Linked DNA regions of Struthio camelus. The protein of the gene in region 2 purifies or fractionates together with the protein of the main gene of each other region. This does not show direct contact. Links are inferred from orthologs where the notes say so. Each region holds a gene or a part of one and is shown on either strand. Other genes may lie near its edges.

Region 1 (7,302 bases), on a different chromosome or scaffold from region 2:
CCGCCCAGCTCTCCCTGCTCCTCTGGGGCAAAAGGTGGGCAGCGCAAAGCCAGACGTCTGCTGGGCACCCAGCTCCCAGACCACCTGCAGGGGCTCTTACCCGCTGGTCATCCTCCCACTGCTGCCGCTCCTCCTCCGTCTCAAAGGCAATGCCCTCTTCCCCATCTTCACGCCGCCCTAGAGAAAGCAAACTAGTCAATATAGGCCCCCCAGCCCTACCCCACTGCCACTTGTGGAGGGAATCCCACAGAACCTTTCCTTATGCTGTAGAGGGTGAAGAGGAGGATTAAGCCATTCCCCAGCATAGCAGCCCAGCCCCAGGCTCCTCACCTTTACCTCTGGACAGCCGTGGCGTGGCCCCCAAGTGTCTCCGGTCATCAGCCCACTCATTATATTTGTACGATGGGGTGGGCAACGGCGTCTTATCCCAGTACCTGCTCCTCACAGACCTGAGGAAACAGCACGAGGGAAAAATTAATGCCGACAGCCAGGTACTGCTCTTGCACGTGCCCTTCCTTCTTCTGCAGATCACCAACTCATAGCCACGGTCCTTTGTTCCAGGTTCTGATACCTGTCCCGATCTCTTCGATCTGTGTCTCGCAAGGACGACGCCCTGTGGCTGCGCTCAGAGTCCCGATAGGAAGACACAGGCGATGGAGATTCCCACTGTGAGCGGCGGGTACTGCTGTAACCACTATCATCCTCCTCCCAGCTGGAGCGAGATGGTGTGGCTGAATCTAGAAGAGATGGGGTTTGACATCTGATGCTCGCACAGTGAGCCAGGGCACCTGGCACTGGTGTCACCTTACACCTTTTAGCAAGGAGCACGGAGACAGAGTACCCGTTCGCTCTCCCTCTAAGAGATAAGAGATGGACCTGACCCAGTAAGTCAAAGGAAAACGGACAGAGGACCATATCCTTATCACACAGACCCAGAAGAGCTCCCCAGAGGGCTGGGATCAGGCAGACTTCCACACACAACTGGCAGGATCACTCCCAGGCCCACGTCCAGGAAAAGCTAGTAGCTTTACGCTTGCCCTAACCACAGACCTTAGAAAATACAGACATTTTTACCCACGCTTGCCCAGGTAAAAAGAGCAGCAACCCAAAAAAGGAATGTAACCCTTCCCATTAAGGCAGTGTCCCACTAGGTCGCACTCCTACCTTTCGGTCTGTGTCTCGGACTCTCTGGTTCACTCCTCCTGCTGCTCCGCTCTGATGAGCCATCCCTTTCTGATCTGCTGCTGTGACGACTTTTGTCCCGCTCCTCTGTGGACAGAGGATAAGATAGGTAAGATTAGGTGCTCACTGCACAAGCAGGCTTCCCAAGTCTGCCCTAGAGAACATCCTAAAGATTACTCAAAGACTACAAAGATGCTGAGGAACGGGCCCAAAGGCTCTAAGCAGGAAGAGTCACAAAGATCTTAGAGCAGTTACCTCGGTCCCGTTTACGGTCATGGTCCCGATCCCTACTGCGTTCCTTCTTTCGTTCCTTCTCCTCCTTAGAGGAAGCAAAGACACCTTGCTCCCGACGCTCCCTTTCCCGCTGCCGGCTGCGTTCCCAAAACTCCTCACTCACACCCCCTGTGTAGGAAGGTGTCTCCACGTGGGCAGAACGGTAATGCCTGGGGAGTCAGAGCGGAGAGAAGAAGAGTGCTGAGGAATAGCTGGCCCTTGACTTGCCTTCATGCAACTCTAGTCCTAGTCTCTGCTACAGCAGGAGTGTGCAGCCAGAAATGCTCTCCCCATCCTTTTCTAACAGCCCAGCAGGTCTGTTCCTGTTTTCAGCTATGAGCAGACCGCAGCCTCCACAGACACAGAGCCAGCCAGTCACATGGATAGGATGACTGGCTTTTTCAGGCCTAACAGCACTCATGAACGCTCCGGGCTCTGACGTCTCAAGGAAGGCACCAGCAAAAAGCCTTTCCCAGACCTTCTCAGACCTGCAGAACTGTTCTACAGGCCTCTGCCGAGGAGACCTCCAGACCTCCTTGCCATGCAGGCACCTGCTTGTCACAGAGCTTGGCCCCCGCAGACACGGAGCAACTGCACATCGCCACAGAGCACGCTCGCGTTCGGTCCTCCCAGCGGGGGCCCCGCGGCTGCTAAACGCCCGGTGCCCCCAGCAGCCCCAGAGACCCCCAGGCAGCCCCTACCTGTCTTTGCGGCCGCTCCGACTGCTTGGGTCGCTCTCCTCCTCTTCGTCGTCCTCCTCCTCGGCGGGGCTGCCCGCCTCGTCCCGGCCCTCCTCCCAGTCCCTGTAGGAGGACACGCGGGAGCGCTTCCCGCCGGCCTCCTCCTCGCGCTCCCGCCGCTTCTGGGCTGCCAGCACGTCCAGGCCCAGCAGGGAGGCCCGCGGCGCCGGCGCCTTGAAGACGTGCTGCTCGGCAGCGGCGCTCCGCTTCCGCACGACCAGCCCGCCGGCCTCGCCGTCCGCGCTCGTCCCCGCCAGCCGGTGCAGCGACTCCTCGCCCGCCTCGCCCATCGCCGCTACCACGCCGCAAGGGGCCGGGCGGCCGGGCCGCGGTCGGCACCCATGGGCTGCGGGGCACGGCTCAGCGGGGGTAGCGCCGCCGGCCGCCTCCCCCGGGCCGGACCGGACCCCGCTCTCCTCCCCAGCCCCGCCGCCTCCCCCGGGCCGGGCCGGCCGGGCCCCGCTCCCCTCCCCGGCCCCGCTCCGCTCCCCGGCCCCGCTCCCCTCCCCGGCCCCCCTCCGCTCCCCTCCCCGGGCCCGCTCTCCTCCCCGGCCCCGCTCCCCTCCCCGGCCCCCCTCCGCTCCCCTCCCCGGGCCCGCTCTCCTCCCCGGCCCCGCTCTCCTCCCCGGCCCCCCCTCCGCTCCGCTCCCCGGCCCCCCTCCGCTCCGCTCCCTGGCCCCGCTCCCCTCCCCGGCCCCCCTCCGCTCCGCTCCCCGGCCCCGCTCTCCTCCCCGGCCCCCCTCCGCTCCGCTCCCCGGCCCCGCTCCCCTCCCCGGCCCCCCTCCGCTCCGCTCCCCGGCCCCGCTCCCCTCCCCGGCCCCGCTCTCCTCCCCGGCCCCCCTCCGCTCCGCTCCCCGGCCCCGCTCCGCTCCCCTTCCCTCCCCGGCCCGGCCCCCACACCTGCCGGCAGTTGCCTCAGCGACCGCAGGCCAGCGCCCTGAGCGCCGCCATTGCCGCCCCACAGTGCTCCGCGAGAAGAGCCGCTCTAGCCCACGCGCACCATCGACGTGCCAGCCGGGGCCCGGCCGCACCACCTACCATAGAGTTCAAGGGTGGCTAGACAGCACGCGCCACAGGGAGGCCAGCGCACTTCCGGCGTAGGGAAACGTGCGTGAGGTCACGTGGCCGCGGGCGGGAGCGAGAAGGGGGCGGAGCCGCACGGGGGGCGGAGCCGCACGGGGGGCGGAGCCCGGAGACCGGCGGGGACATCCCACGGACCCACACGGGGGGGACCCCCATGGACCCACACGAAGGGATCCCGGAGACCCACACGGGGGGATCCCACGGACCCACAGGGAGAGGTGCGCTGCTAGACCTTGTACTAACAAACAAACAAGGTCCGGTTGGAGACGTGAAGGTTGGGGGCAGGCTGCAGTGACCATGAGGTGGTGGAGTTCAGGATCCTGCAAGGAGAGAGCAGGGCAATAAGCAGGATCGCAACCCTGGACTTCAGGAGAGCCAACTGTGGCCTCTTCAGGGCCCTACTTGGAGGAGTCCCATGGGATAAGGCCCTAGAAGGAAGGGGGGTCCAGGAGAGCTGGTTAACATTCAGTTATCACTTCCAGCAGGTTCAAGACGGGTGCATCCCTCTGAGTAAGAAGTCGAGCAAAGAGGGCAGGAGACCTGCATGGATGAGTGAGGAACTCCTGACAAAAGTCCAACAGAAGAAGGAAGTGTACAGAATGTGGAAAAGGGGACAGGCCACTTGGGAGGAATACAGGGACGTTGTCAGAGTGTGCAGGGATGCGACAAGGAAGGCTAAGGCCCAGTTGGAATTAAATCTGTCAAGGGATGTCAAGGACAACAAGAAGGGGTTCTTCAAATACATCAATAGCACAAGGAAGACTAGGGAAAACGTGGGCCTGCTGCTGAATGGGGCGGGTGCCCTGGTGACAGAGAAGGCAAGAAGGCAGAGCTGCTGAATGCCTTCTTTGCTTCAGTCTCTCCTGCTAAGGCCAGTCCTGAGGAATTCCAGACCCTGAGGACAAGAGAGGAAGTCTGGAGAAAGGAAGACTCTCCCTTGGTCAAGGAGGATCAGGTTAGAGATCATTTGTGGAAACTTGACATCAACAAATCCATGGGCCCCAATGGGATGCACCCACAAGCGCTGAGGAAACTGGCAGATGTTATTGCTAGGCCACTCTTCATCATCTTGGAAAGGTCCTGGAGAACAGGAGAGGTGCCTGAGGCCTGGAAGAAAGCCAGTGTCATGCCAGTCTTCCCAAAGGGCCAGAAGGAGGAGCCAGGAAACTACAGGCCTGTCAGCCTCACCTGCATCGCTGGAAAGGGGATGGAACAACTCATCTTGGAGGTCCTCCCCCAAGCATGAGGAGGACAAGCAGGTGATCAGGAGTAGTCAGCATGGCTTCACCAAAGGGGAATCATGCTTGACCAATCTGATAGCCTTCTCTGATGGGATGACTGGCTGGGTAGATGAGGGCAGAGCAGTGGATGGTGTCTACCTGGACTTCAGCGAGGCTTCTGACACTGTCTCCCATCCCATCCTCCTAGGTAAACTCAGAAAGCGTCGGTTGGCTGAGTGGACAGTGAGGTGGATTGAGAACTGGCTGGATGACAGAGCTCAGAGGGTTGTGGTCAGTGGTGCAGCCTAGTTGGAGCCCTGTAGCTAGCGGTGTCCACCAGGGGCCAGTACTGGGTCCACTCTTGTTCAATGTGTTCATCAATGACCTGAGTGAAGGGACAGAGTGCCTCCTCAGCAAGTTTGCTGATGATACTAAACTGGGAGGAGTGGCTGACACACCAGGAGGCTGTGCTGCCATTCAGAGGGACCTGGACAGGCTGGAGAGTTGGGCAGAGAGGAAACTCATGAAGTTCAACAAAGGCAAGTGCAGGGTCCTGCACCTGGAGAGGAATAACCCCATGCATCAGGAGAGGTTGGAGAGGAATAACCCCAGGCACCAGGACAGGACACACCTGCTGGAAAGCAGCTCTGCAGAGAAGGACCTGGGAGCCCTGGTGGACAACAAGTTAAGCATGAGCCAGCAGTGTGCCCTTGCAGCCAAGAAGGCCAATGGGATCCTGGGCTGCATGGGGCAGAGTGTTGCCAGCAGGTGGAGGGAGGTGATCCTGCCCCTCTCCTCAGCCCTGGGGAGGCCTCACCTGGAGTACTGTGTCCAGTTCTGGGCTCCCCAGTGCAAGAGAGACATGGCACTGCTGGAGAGAGTCCAGCAGAGGGCTGCAAAGATGAGGAGGGGACTGGAGCATCTCTCACGTGAGCAAAAGGCTGAGAGAGCTGGGCCTGTTCAGCCTGGAGAGAAGGCTGAGGGTATATGAGATGTATTGTATACAATATGAGATGTATACAAGTGTCTGAAGGGAGGGTGTCAAGAGGATGGGGCCAGGCTCTTCTCTGTGGTGCCCAGCGACAGGACAAGAGGCAACGGGCACAAACGGAAACACAGGAAGTTCTGTCTGAACACGAGGAAGAACTTCTTTCCTGTGAGGGGGACAGAGCACTGGAACAGGTTGCCCAGAGAGGTTGTGGGGTCTCCTTCCCTGGAGATATTCAAAACCCACCTGGACATGATCCTGGGCAACGTGCTCTAGAGGACCCTGCTTGAGCAGAGGGGTTGGACTAGATGATCTCCAGAGGTCCCTTCCAACCTCAACCATTCTGTGATTCTGTGATCCCACTGACCCACACAGGGGCGATCCTGGAAGATCCACATGGGGGGGGGGGATCCCACAGACCCACACAGGGGTGATCCTGGAGACCCACATGGGGGGGGAATCCCATCGAGCCATGTGGGGGGATCCCACAGACTCACGGTGGGGGAAAAGGGGCACCCCACGTGCACCCCAGAGGCAGGGACACACACACAGCCCTGGGTGCAGTGTACACACACACGCATGCACGCGCACACCCCCCCCCACAGACACATAGGTGCAGCATGCACACACACGTGTGCGTGCAGCGCAGGGAGGCAGCGACAGAGGCACCGGAGCCGTTGGCGAGGCGCGGGGTGGTTTATTGCGGGCTGGCAGCCCCGGCCCCATCGTCGGCCAGGGTCTGCTTCACCCAGTCGAGGACGTGCTCCACGCTGACGTAGACGCCATACTTGGAGGCCGAGCAGGTCTTGTCGTAGCTGAGGATGCCGGCGGCGTACCAGGTGTCGTCCTCGGGGTCCCGCACGGCGAACGCCCCGCCGGCGTCCCCGTAGCACGTGTCCTCCCGCAGCTCGCTCATGCCCACGCAGAAGGTGTGCTTGCTGAGGAGGGGCGGCACGCCGTGGGGTCCCCGGGCCGCGTAGTACTCTGCGCACTTCTCGCTCTCCGCCACCGGCAGCATCACGTACTTCAGCAGGTCTGAGAAGGCGAAGGTGGCCCCGCGGCCCCAGCCCGCCACATAGCCCACCCGCCCTGGCTGCAGGTAGTCCTTCTGCGCCAGGCAGATGGGCATCACCTCCTCTCCCAGCAGCACCTTCTCCTTGAGCTTGAGCAAGGCCAGGTCCACGGCCTTGGGGTACTCGGGGTGCAGCACGATGCGCTCCACCCGCGGGGCGAGCTGCTCCTTGCCGCCCAGGAAGAGCTGCAGCGTGGGGGCGATCTCGGCCGGGTCGGCGTCCGCGCTGTGGTTCAGGTAGACGTTCCTGCCGGTGGTCAGCAGCCACTGGTCGCTGATGAGCGTGGCCCCCACGGTGAGGTTGTGGCGCGTCACCAGCCGGCCCTGCCAGGGGAAGCTGCCCTTGCCGGCCAGCAGGCCCCCGATGATGCGCTGCGTCTGCGTGGCCGGGTGCGCCGGCTTCCCGCACACTGCCGAGGAGGACGAGGCCCCGTGAGCCCCCGCCGCTCGCCCCAGGGGCGCCTGGCGGCCCCGGCGCAGGGGGCTCCTGCTGCAGGCAGCCCGGCTGCGGCAGCCCCTAGCCCGCCAGCCCAGGCCGCTCACCCGGCTCGCAGACGGGCAGCTCCTCTCCGGCCTCGGCGTTCACCCACACGTGCTTCTCGTGGCACTCGTACGTGCCTGCAGAGGCAGGAGGGGGTCGGCGCCCGGCCGCAGCGGGGCGCCGGGGCCGGGGCCCGGCAGGCGCAGGCGGCCCAGCGCGGGCGGCAGCGGCGCGCCGCCCGACCCGGCGAGGGGTGGGGGCCC
Region 2 (7,579 bases):
GTGTCCCCCAAATCCCGTTGAGGTGCTCCAGCCTGTCCCCATGTCCTCCACTATGTCCCTCATGTCCCGTTGAGGTGCTCCAGCCCGTCCCCGGTGTCCCCTACGTCCCCTTGAGGTGCTCCAGCCCGTCCCCATGTCCTCCACTATGTCCCCCATGTCCCGTTGAGGTGCTCCAGCCCATCCCCCGGTGTCCCCCACCATGTCCCCCACATCCCGTTGAGGTGCTCCAGCCCGTCCCCGGTGTCCTCCACCATGTCCCCCACGTCCCGTTGAGGTGCTCCAGCCCGTCCCCGGTGTCCTCCACCACGTCCCCCACGTCCCGTTGAGGTGCTCCAGCCCGTCCCCGGTGTCCCCCACATCCCATTGAGGTGCTCCAGCCTGTCCCCATGTCCTCCACCATGTCCCCCACGTCCCGTTGAGGTGCTCCAGCCCGTCCCCCGGTGTCCCCCACCATGTCCCCCACGTCCCATTGAGGTGCTCCAGCCCGTCCCCAGTGTCCTCCACCATGTCCCCCACATCCCGTTGAGGTGCTCCAGCCCGTCCCCCGGTGTCCCCCACCATGTCCCCCACGTCCCATTGAGGTGTTCCAGCCCGTCCCCGGTGTCCTCCACCATGTCCCCCACGTCCCATTGAGGTGCTCCAGCCTGTCGTTGGTGTCCCCCACGTCCCGTTGAGGTGCTCCAGCCTGTCCCCATGTCCTCCACCATGTCCCCCACGTCCCGTTGAGGTGCTCCAGCCCGTCCCCGGTGTCCCCCACCATGTCCCCCATGTCCCATTGAGGTGCTCCAGCCTGTCCTTGGTGTCCCCCACGTCCCGTTGGGGTGCTCCAGCCTGTCCCCATGTCCTCCACCACGTCCCCCACGTCCCGTTGAGGTGCTCCAGCCTGTCCCCATGTCCTCCACCACGTCCCCCATGTCCCATTGAGGTGCTCCAGCCTGTCCTTGGTGTCCCCCACGTCCCGTTGAGGTGCTCCAGCCCGTCCCCGGTGTCCCCCACCATGTCCCCCACGTCCCATTAATGTGCTCCAGCCCGTCCCCTGTGTCCCCTACGTCCCATTGAGGTGCTCCAGCCTGTCCCCATGTCCTCCACTATGTCCCCCACGTCCCATTGAGATGCTCCAAGCTATCCCTGGCATCCTCCACCATGTCCCCCACGTCCCATTGAGGTGCTCCAGCCTGTCCTTGGTGTTCCCCCATGTCCCTGCATCCCACTGTGTCCCCATGTCCCATTGAGGTTCTCCAGCCTGTCCCTGGTGTCCCCCATGTCCCTGCACCCTGCTGTGTCCCCATGTCCCATCGAGGTTCTCCAGCCCGTCCCTGGTGTCCCCCAGGTCCCCGTGTCCCCCCTCACCCAGTCGATGTTGTCCAGCCAGCTGTCCCGGAGCAGCTTCTCGCGCCGCGGGAAGTAGTTGCCCTCGGAGTCGAAGTGCCCCTCGGCCATCTCCTCCTGCAGGTTGAAGGGGGTGACGGGCACCCCGCCCTCGGCCTCCAGCGTCGCCGCCTCCTGCCCTGAGACGGGGGTCAGCGCCCCACGGCGACCCCCGGCCACCCCCCGCCGCCCCACGGCGACCCCCGGCGCCCCGCTCACCCTCCACGTCGTGGGGCGCCAGCACGTCGTACTTGCTGCTGCCTTCGGCCTCGTCCTCCTCGTCGCTGTCCAGCGAGTGCTTCCCCGGGAACCGGCTCCCGGGGCCCCCCACGGCCCCCGCCTCCTGCGTGGGTCAGCCCCACCGTGACCCCCGGCCCCCCACGGCCCCCGCCTCCTGCGTGGGTCAGCCCCACCGTGACCCCCGGCCCCCCACAGCCCCCGCCTCCTGCGTGGGTCAGCCCCACCGTGACCCCCGCCATGACCCACGGCCCCCGCCCCCCGTGTGGGTCAGCCCCACCGTGACCCACGGCGACCCACGCCCCCCCCACGGCAGCCCCCCAGCCCCTGGGGCCCCCACAACCCCCAGCTCCAGCCCCCCGGCACCCTCCAGCTGCCCCACAGCTCACCCAGGGGTCCTGGGGCCTGCACAGTCCCCAGGTTCGGCTGCCCCCCAGCGCCCCACAGCTGCCCCTCGGTGCCCCCCAGCCGCCCCCACTAGCCCCCTGGTGCCCCCCAGCAGCCCCTGGCCCCCCCCGGTGCCCCCCAGCCCCTCACCCTCTTGCGGGGGGGCCCCGGCTCCTCCTCGTCCTCGGGGTCCTCGAACGTCACCTTGCGCTTGGCCATGCTGGGGGGGGGGGGGCACGCAGCTCCGTTAACGGCCCCTCGTTAGCGACGCCCCCGTGGCCCCTCGTTAGCCCCACGAACAGCCTCCGCCACCAGCCCCCAGTGACCCCCCTACCAGCCCCCAGTCACCCCCAGTAACCCCCCACTACCAGCCCCCAGTGACCCCCAGTAACCCCCCACTACCAGCCCCCAGTCACCCCCAGTGACCCCCCCTACCAGCCCCCAGTGACCCCCAGTAACCACCCCACTACCAGCCCCCAGTGACCCCCATTACCAGCCCCCAGTAACCCCCACTAACAGCTCCCAGTGACTCCCAGTGACCCCCCAGTAGCAGCCCCCGTTAACTGCCCCCTGGCCCTCATTAGCTCCCCATTCCCCCCCAGTAGCCCCCGTTTGCCCCATTAAGGCCCGTTAATCCCCAGCAGCTCATTAACTGCCCCCAATAACCCCCGTTAACAGCCCCCTTGACCCCCCCCCCATTAAGGCCCCCACCAGCCCGCTCTTAACCCCATCGTCCCCCCCCATTAACCCCCCGTTAACACACCTCCTATTTGCATATGCAAATGAGCCGCGCTCGCCACGCCCATACTAAAGCCCCTCCCCCCCGCCCCCAGGCCACGGCGACTGGCGGCGCTCGCCACCCGCCGCCGCCCACGGGGACCCCTCGAAGCTCCCCGACTCGGCCGTGGGGTCCCGGCTCCCCCCGGGCTCTGGGCCGCCCCCTAAACTGCCCCAAACCCCCCCAAAACCGCCCCCCAGGGGGCGGCTCCCAGGGGCGCCGCGGGGTGCCTCATTTGAATATGTAAATGAACCCCCCCCACCCCCCCACCCCCGGTAAGGCGCGCGCGGGCCGCTCACCCCGCGGCCCCGCCGGTGGCTGCGCTACCGCGACGGAAGCACTTCCGGGGCAGGGCGGGCGGCAGGGCGGAAGTGGCGTCACGGCCCGGGCAGGACTGCGGCTTCAGCGCCGGCGGGCAGTGTGGGCAGCTCTTAAAGGGGCCGCGACCCCATTTCCTCCCCCACCCACCCTGGCCCTGCCCCCCCAGCCCCACGTGACCCCCATTTCCCCCGGGATCCCCCAAAACTCCCTTCCCCCCCCAAACCCCCCTCAACACCCCGAGCCACCCCCAGCCCTCCATTTCCTCCTGAAACCACCCCAAACCGCCTGGGAGACCCCCAAACCCACCCTTCCCCCCCCCCAAATCCCCCGTTTCCCTCAGCCCCCCCCGCTCCTGCCCCCCCGAACCGCCTGGGACCCCCCAAAACACCCCTTTCCCCCCCAAATCTCCCGTTTCCCTCAGCCCCCCCCACTCCTGCCCCCCCGAACCGCCTGGGACCCCCCAAAACGCCCCTTCCCCCCCCAAATCCCTCGTTTCCCTCAGCCCCCCCCGCTCCTGCCCCCCCGAACCGCCTGGGACCCCCCAAAACGCCCCTTCCCCCCCCAAATCCCTCGTTTCCCTCAGCCCCCCCCGCTCCTGCCCCCCCGAACCGCCTGGGACCCCCCAAAACGCCCCTTCCCCCCCCAAATCCCCCGTTTCCCTCAGCCCCCCCCGCTCCTGCCCCCCCGAACCGCCTGGGACCCCCCAAAACGCCCCTTCCCCCCCCAAATCCCCCGTTTCCCTCAGCCCCCCCCGCTCCTGCCCCCCCGAACCGCCTGGGACCCCCCAAAACGCCCCTTTCCCCCCCAAATCCCCCGTTTCCCTCAGCCCCCCCCGCTCCTGCCCCCCCGAACCGCCTGGGACCCCCCAAAACGCCCCTTTCCCCCCCAAATCTCCCGTTTCCCTCAGCCCTCCCCGCTCCTGCCCCCCCGAACCGCCTGGGACCCCCCAAAACACCCCTTTCCCCCCCAAATCTCCCGTTTCCCTCAGCCCCCCCCACTCCTGCCCCCCCGAACCGCCTGGGACCCCCCAAAACGCCCCTTCCCCCCCCAAATCCCCCGTTTCCCTCAGCCCCCCCCGCTCCTGCCCCCCCGAACCGCCTGGGACCCCCCAAAACGCCCCTTTCCCCCCCAAATCCCCCGTTTCCCTCAGCCCCCCCCGCTCCTGCCCCCCCGAACCGCCTGGGACCCCCCAAAACGCCCCTTTCCCCCCAAATCTCCCGTTTCCCTCAGCCCTCCCCGCTCCTGCCCCCCCGAACCGCCTGGGACCCCCCAAAACACCCCTTTCCCCCCCAAATCTCCCGTTTCCCTCAGCCCCCCCCACTCCTGCCCCCCCGAACCGCCTGGGACCCCCCAAAACGCCCCTTCCCCCCCCAAATCCCCCGTTTCCCTCAGCCCCCCCCGCTCCTGCCCCCCCAAACCGCCCCCGCAGCCCCCAAGGACGACTCGGGGCCGGGCCGCTCGTTTGGGGGCTCCTCGTTAACCCCGTCTCGCTGTTTTTTCCTTCAAACGAAGCCACAAAGCCGCAGCCCCCCCGGAACGGGGGGCGCTAACGACCCGCCGCTAACGAGGGGCGTCCGGGGGGGGGGGGGTCCAGTGTCGTCCCGTTAAATAAGCGCTGGGGGGGGGGAGGAGGGGGCCCAGGCGTCCGGGCAGCCCCGGGGGGGGAGGGGGGCACCGGGCCCGGAGTGTCAATCATAGGAGCTGTCAATCAATCACAGGAGCTGTCTATCACAGGAGCCATCAATCAATCACAGGAGCGGTCAATCCCAGGAGCCATCGATCAATCCCAGGAGCCATCGATCAATCCCAGGAGCTGTCAATCAATCGCAGGAGCTGTCAATCAATCGCAGGAGCGGTCAATCCCAGGAGCCATCGATCAATCCCAGGAGCCATCGATCAATCCCAGGAGCTGTCAATCAATCGCAGGAGCCGTCAACCGGAGGCAGGCCGGCGAGTTGATGGATGGGGAGCTGTCAATCAAGGGGAGCTGTCAATCAAAGGTGGGGTGGCCTGTCAATCAAAGGGAGCCATCAATCCAATGAGGGTGTCAATCAAAGGCTGGGCAGGGCGTCACTCCGAAGCCGGCGGTCACATGCATGAACGGCAGCTGCCAATCAAAGGCAGCTGTCAATCAATGCAATCCACTAATCAAAGGTGGCAGCCAACCACACGCAACTGTCAATCAAAGGCAGCTGTCAATCAAAGGTAACTGCCACCCACAGCGGCTGTCAATCAATGGCAGCTGTCAATCAAATGGAGCCAGCAGTGAAAAGCAGCTGTCAATCAGCGGGAATCATTAATCAAAGGCAGCTGCCAATGAAGGGAGCCGCCAATCAAAGGCAGTTGTCAGTCAACCAGAGCTGCCGATCAAAGCAAGCTGTCAATCAAAGGCAGCTGCCGATCAAACCGAGCCGTCCATCCCGGGGGCGTCTGGAGGGAGGGATGGACGGAGGGATGGACGGACGGAGGGACGGAGGGATGGACAGATGGAGGGACGGCTGGAGCGATGGAGGGAGGGATGGACGGACGGAGGGAGGAATGGATGGAGGGATGGAGGGAGGGACGGAGGGATGGAGGGATGGAGGGGCAGAGTGATGGATGGACGGAGGGATGGACGGAGGGATGGACGGACGGATGGATGGAGGGATGGAGGGAGGGACGGAGGGAGGAATGGATGGAGGGATGGAGGGAGGGATGGACGGAGGGACGGACGGAGGAATGGATGGAGGGATGGAGGGAGGGACGGAGGGATGGACGGACGGATGGATGGAGGGACGGACGAAGGGATGGAGGGAGGGATGGACGGATGGAGGGACGGACGGAGGCAACTCCCACCTGGCTCAGAAGTAGGCGTCCTGCCGCCCGGGGGGGTCCCGGTCCCCGGCCGCCCCTGGTGCCGCCGCTGCCGCCGCCGCCGCCTTCCGCGCCGGCCGCTTCGATGGCGCCTTCTCGGGGGCCGCTGCCGCCCCCTTGCCCTGCAGCCGCTGCCGGCACTTCTCCAGCAGCCCCCTGGCCGCCGGCCGCTGCCGGGACCCCTGCGCCGCCCGCTGCCGCTCCTGGGGCCCCTCCGGCCCGTGCAACCGCTCCTTGCACGTCTCCGCCTCGTGCAACCGCTCCTGGCGCTCTTCTGTCTTGTGCAAGCGCTCGTTGCGCTCCCCTGCTTTGGGCAGCTGCTCCTGGGGCTCCTGCGCTGCCTGCAATTGTTCATCGCACTCTTCTCCTTCGCGCAACCGCTCCTGGCACGTCTGCTTGTCGTGCAACTGCTCCTTGCACGTCTCCGCCTCGTGCAGCCGCTCCTGGCGCTCTTCTGTCTTGTGCAATTGCTCCTGGCGCTCCTCCACTTTGTGCAATTGTTCATTGCACTCTTCTCCTTCGTGCAACCGCTCCTGGCACATCTCCACCTCGTGCAACTGCTCCTTGCACGTCTCCACCTTGTGCAACTGCTCCTTGCACGTCTCCACCTCGTGCAACCGCTCCTTGCACGTCTCCGCCTCGTGCAACCGCTCCTTGCACGTCTCCACCTTGTACAACTGCTCCTTGCACGTCTCCGCCTCGTGCAACTGCTCCTTGCACGTCTCCACCTCGTGCAGCCACTCCTTGCACGTCTGCCCTTCGTGCAACTGCTCCTTGCACGTCTCCGCCTCGTGCAACTGCTCCTTGCACGTCTCCGCCTCATGCAACCACTCCTTGCACGTCTCCACCTTGTACAACTGCTCCTTGCACGTCTGCCCTTCGTGCAACCACTCCTTGCACGTCTCCACCTTGTACAACTGCTCCTTGCACGTCTGCCCTTCGTGCAACCGCTCCTTGCACGCCTCCGCCTCGTGCAGCCGCTCCTTGCACGTCTCCACCTCGTGCAACTGCTCCTTGCACGTCTCCACCTCGTGCAACTGCTCCTTGCACGTCTCCGCCTCGTGCAACCGCTCCTTGCACGCCTCCGCCTCGTGCAACTGCTCCTTGCACGTCTGCCCTTCGTGCAACCGCTCCTTGCACGTCTCCACCTCGTGCAACCGCTCCTTGCACGTCTGCCCTTCGTGCAACCCCTCCTTGCGCGCCTCCAGCCGGTGCCTCTGCTCCGGGCGCCCCTCCGTGCCGGGCGCCGGCTCCCGGCGGGGGGGGGCGGCGGGGGGGCCCCCCCGGCGCTGCCGCTCCTCCAGGATGGCGCGGGCCCCGTGCAGGCGCCGGGGCGGCGGGCGCTGCAGCTCGCCCCGCGTCTCCCGCCAGCGCCGCAGCTGCGCCCCGCTCTCCCGCTCGATCAGCGCCTCCGTCACCGGCAGCGACGTCGCCTGCGGCCCGCCGGCACCTCGGCGTCCCCGCGCCGCCCCGCGCCGCCCCACCGCCCCACGCCTGCCGCCCCACGGCTCCCCACGGCTCCCCACGGCTCCCCACGGCTCCCCGCGCCGCCCCGCGCTGCCCCACGGCTCCCCACGGCCCCACGCCTGCCGCCCCATGGCTCCCCACGGCTCCCCGCGCCGCCCCACGGCTCCC

The links. Proteins that work in one complex are often made in the same cells at the same time.
Region 1: the proteins of CD2BP2 (region 2) and DHX38 purify together in Homo sapiens (affinity purification with mass spectrometry; 3 studies listed by BioGRID and IntAct, counting the BioPlex papers as one, with this or other methods). This does not show direct contact. The link is inferred for Struthio camelus from reciprocal best matches to the Homo sapiens genes CD2BP2 and DHX38.

Annotation. Positions count from the first base shown.
Region 1 is NC_090951.1:491,031-498,332, reverse strand, and holds the start of DHX38 (pre-mRNA-splicing factor ATP-dependent RNA helicase PRP16), read right to left. Parts: upstream 3,270-7,302; 5' UTR 3,096-3,269; intron 2,542-3,095; 5' UTR 2,486-2,541; coding exon 2,157-2,485; intron 1,626-2,156; coding exon 1,438-1,625; intron 1,270-1,437; coding exon 1,165-1,269; intron 738-1,164; coding exon 572-737; intron 450-571; coding exon 331-449; intron 178-330; coding exon 101-177; intron 1-100. Other genes in the region: haptoglobin-like, read right to left, coding at 6,184-6,968, 7,102-7,176. UniProt on the Homo sapiens protein: Probable ATP-binding RNA helicase. Involved in pre-mRNA splicing as component of the spliceosome.
Region 2 is NC_090973.1:156,491-164,069, forward strand, and holds the start of CD2BP2 (CD2 antigen cytoplasmic tail-binding protein 2), read right to left. Parts: upstream 3,236-7,579; 5' UTR 3,070-3,235; intron 2,213-3,069; 5' UTR 2,212-2,212; coding exon 2,143-2,211; intron 1,712-2,142; coding exon 1,588-1,711; intron 1,509-1,587; coding exon 1,351-1,508; intron 1-1,350. Other genes in the region: TBC1 domain family member 10B-like, read right to left, coding at 5,932-7,377. UniProt on the Homo sapiens protein: Involved in pre-mRNA splicing as component of the U5 snRNP complex that is involved in spliceosome assembly.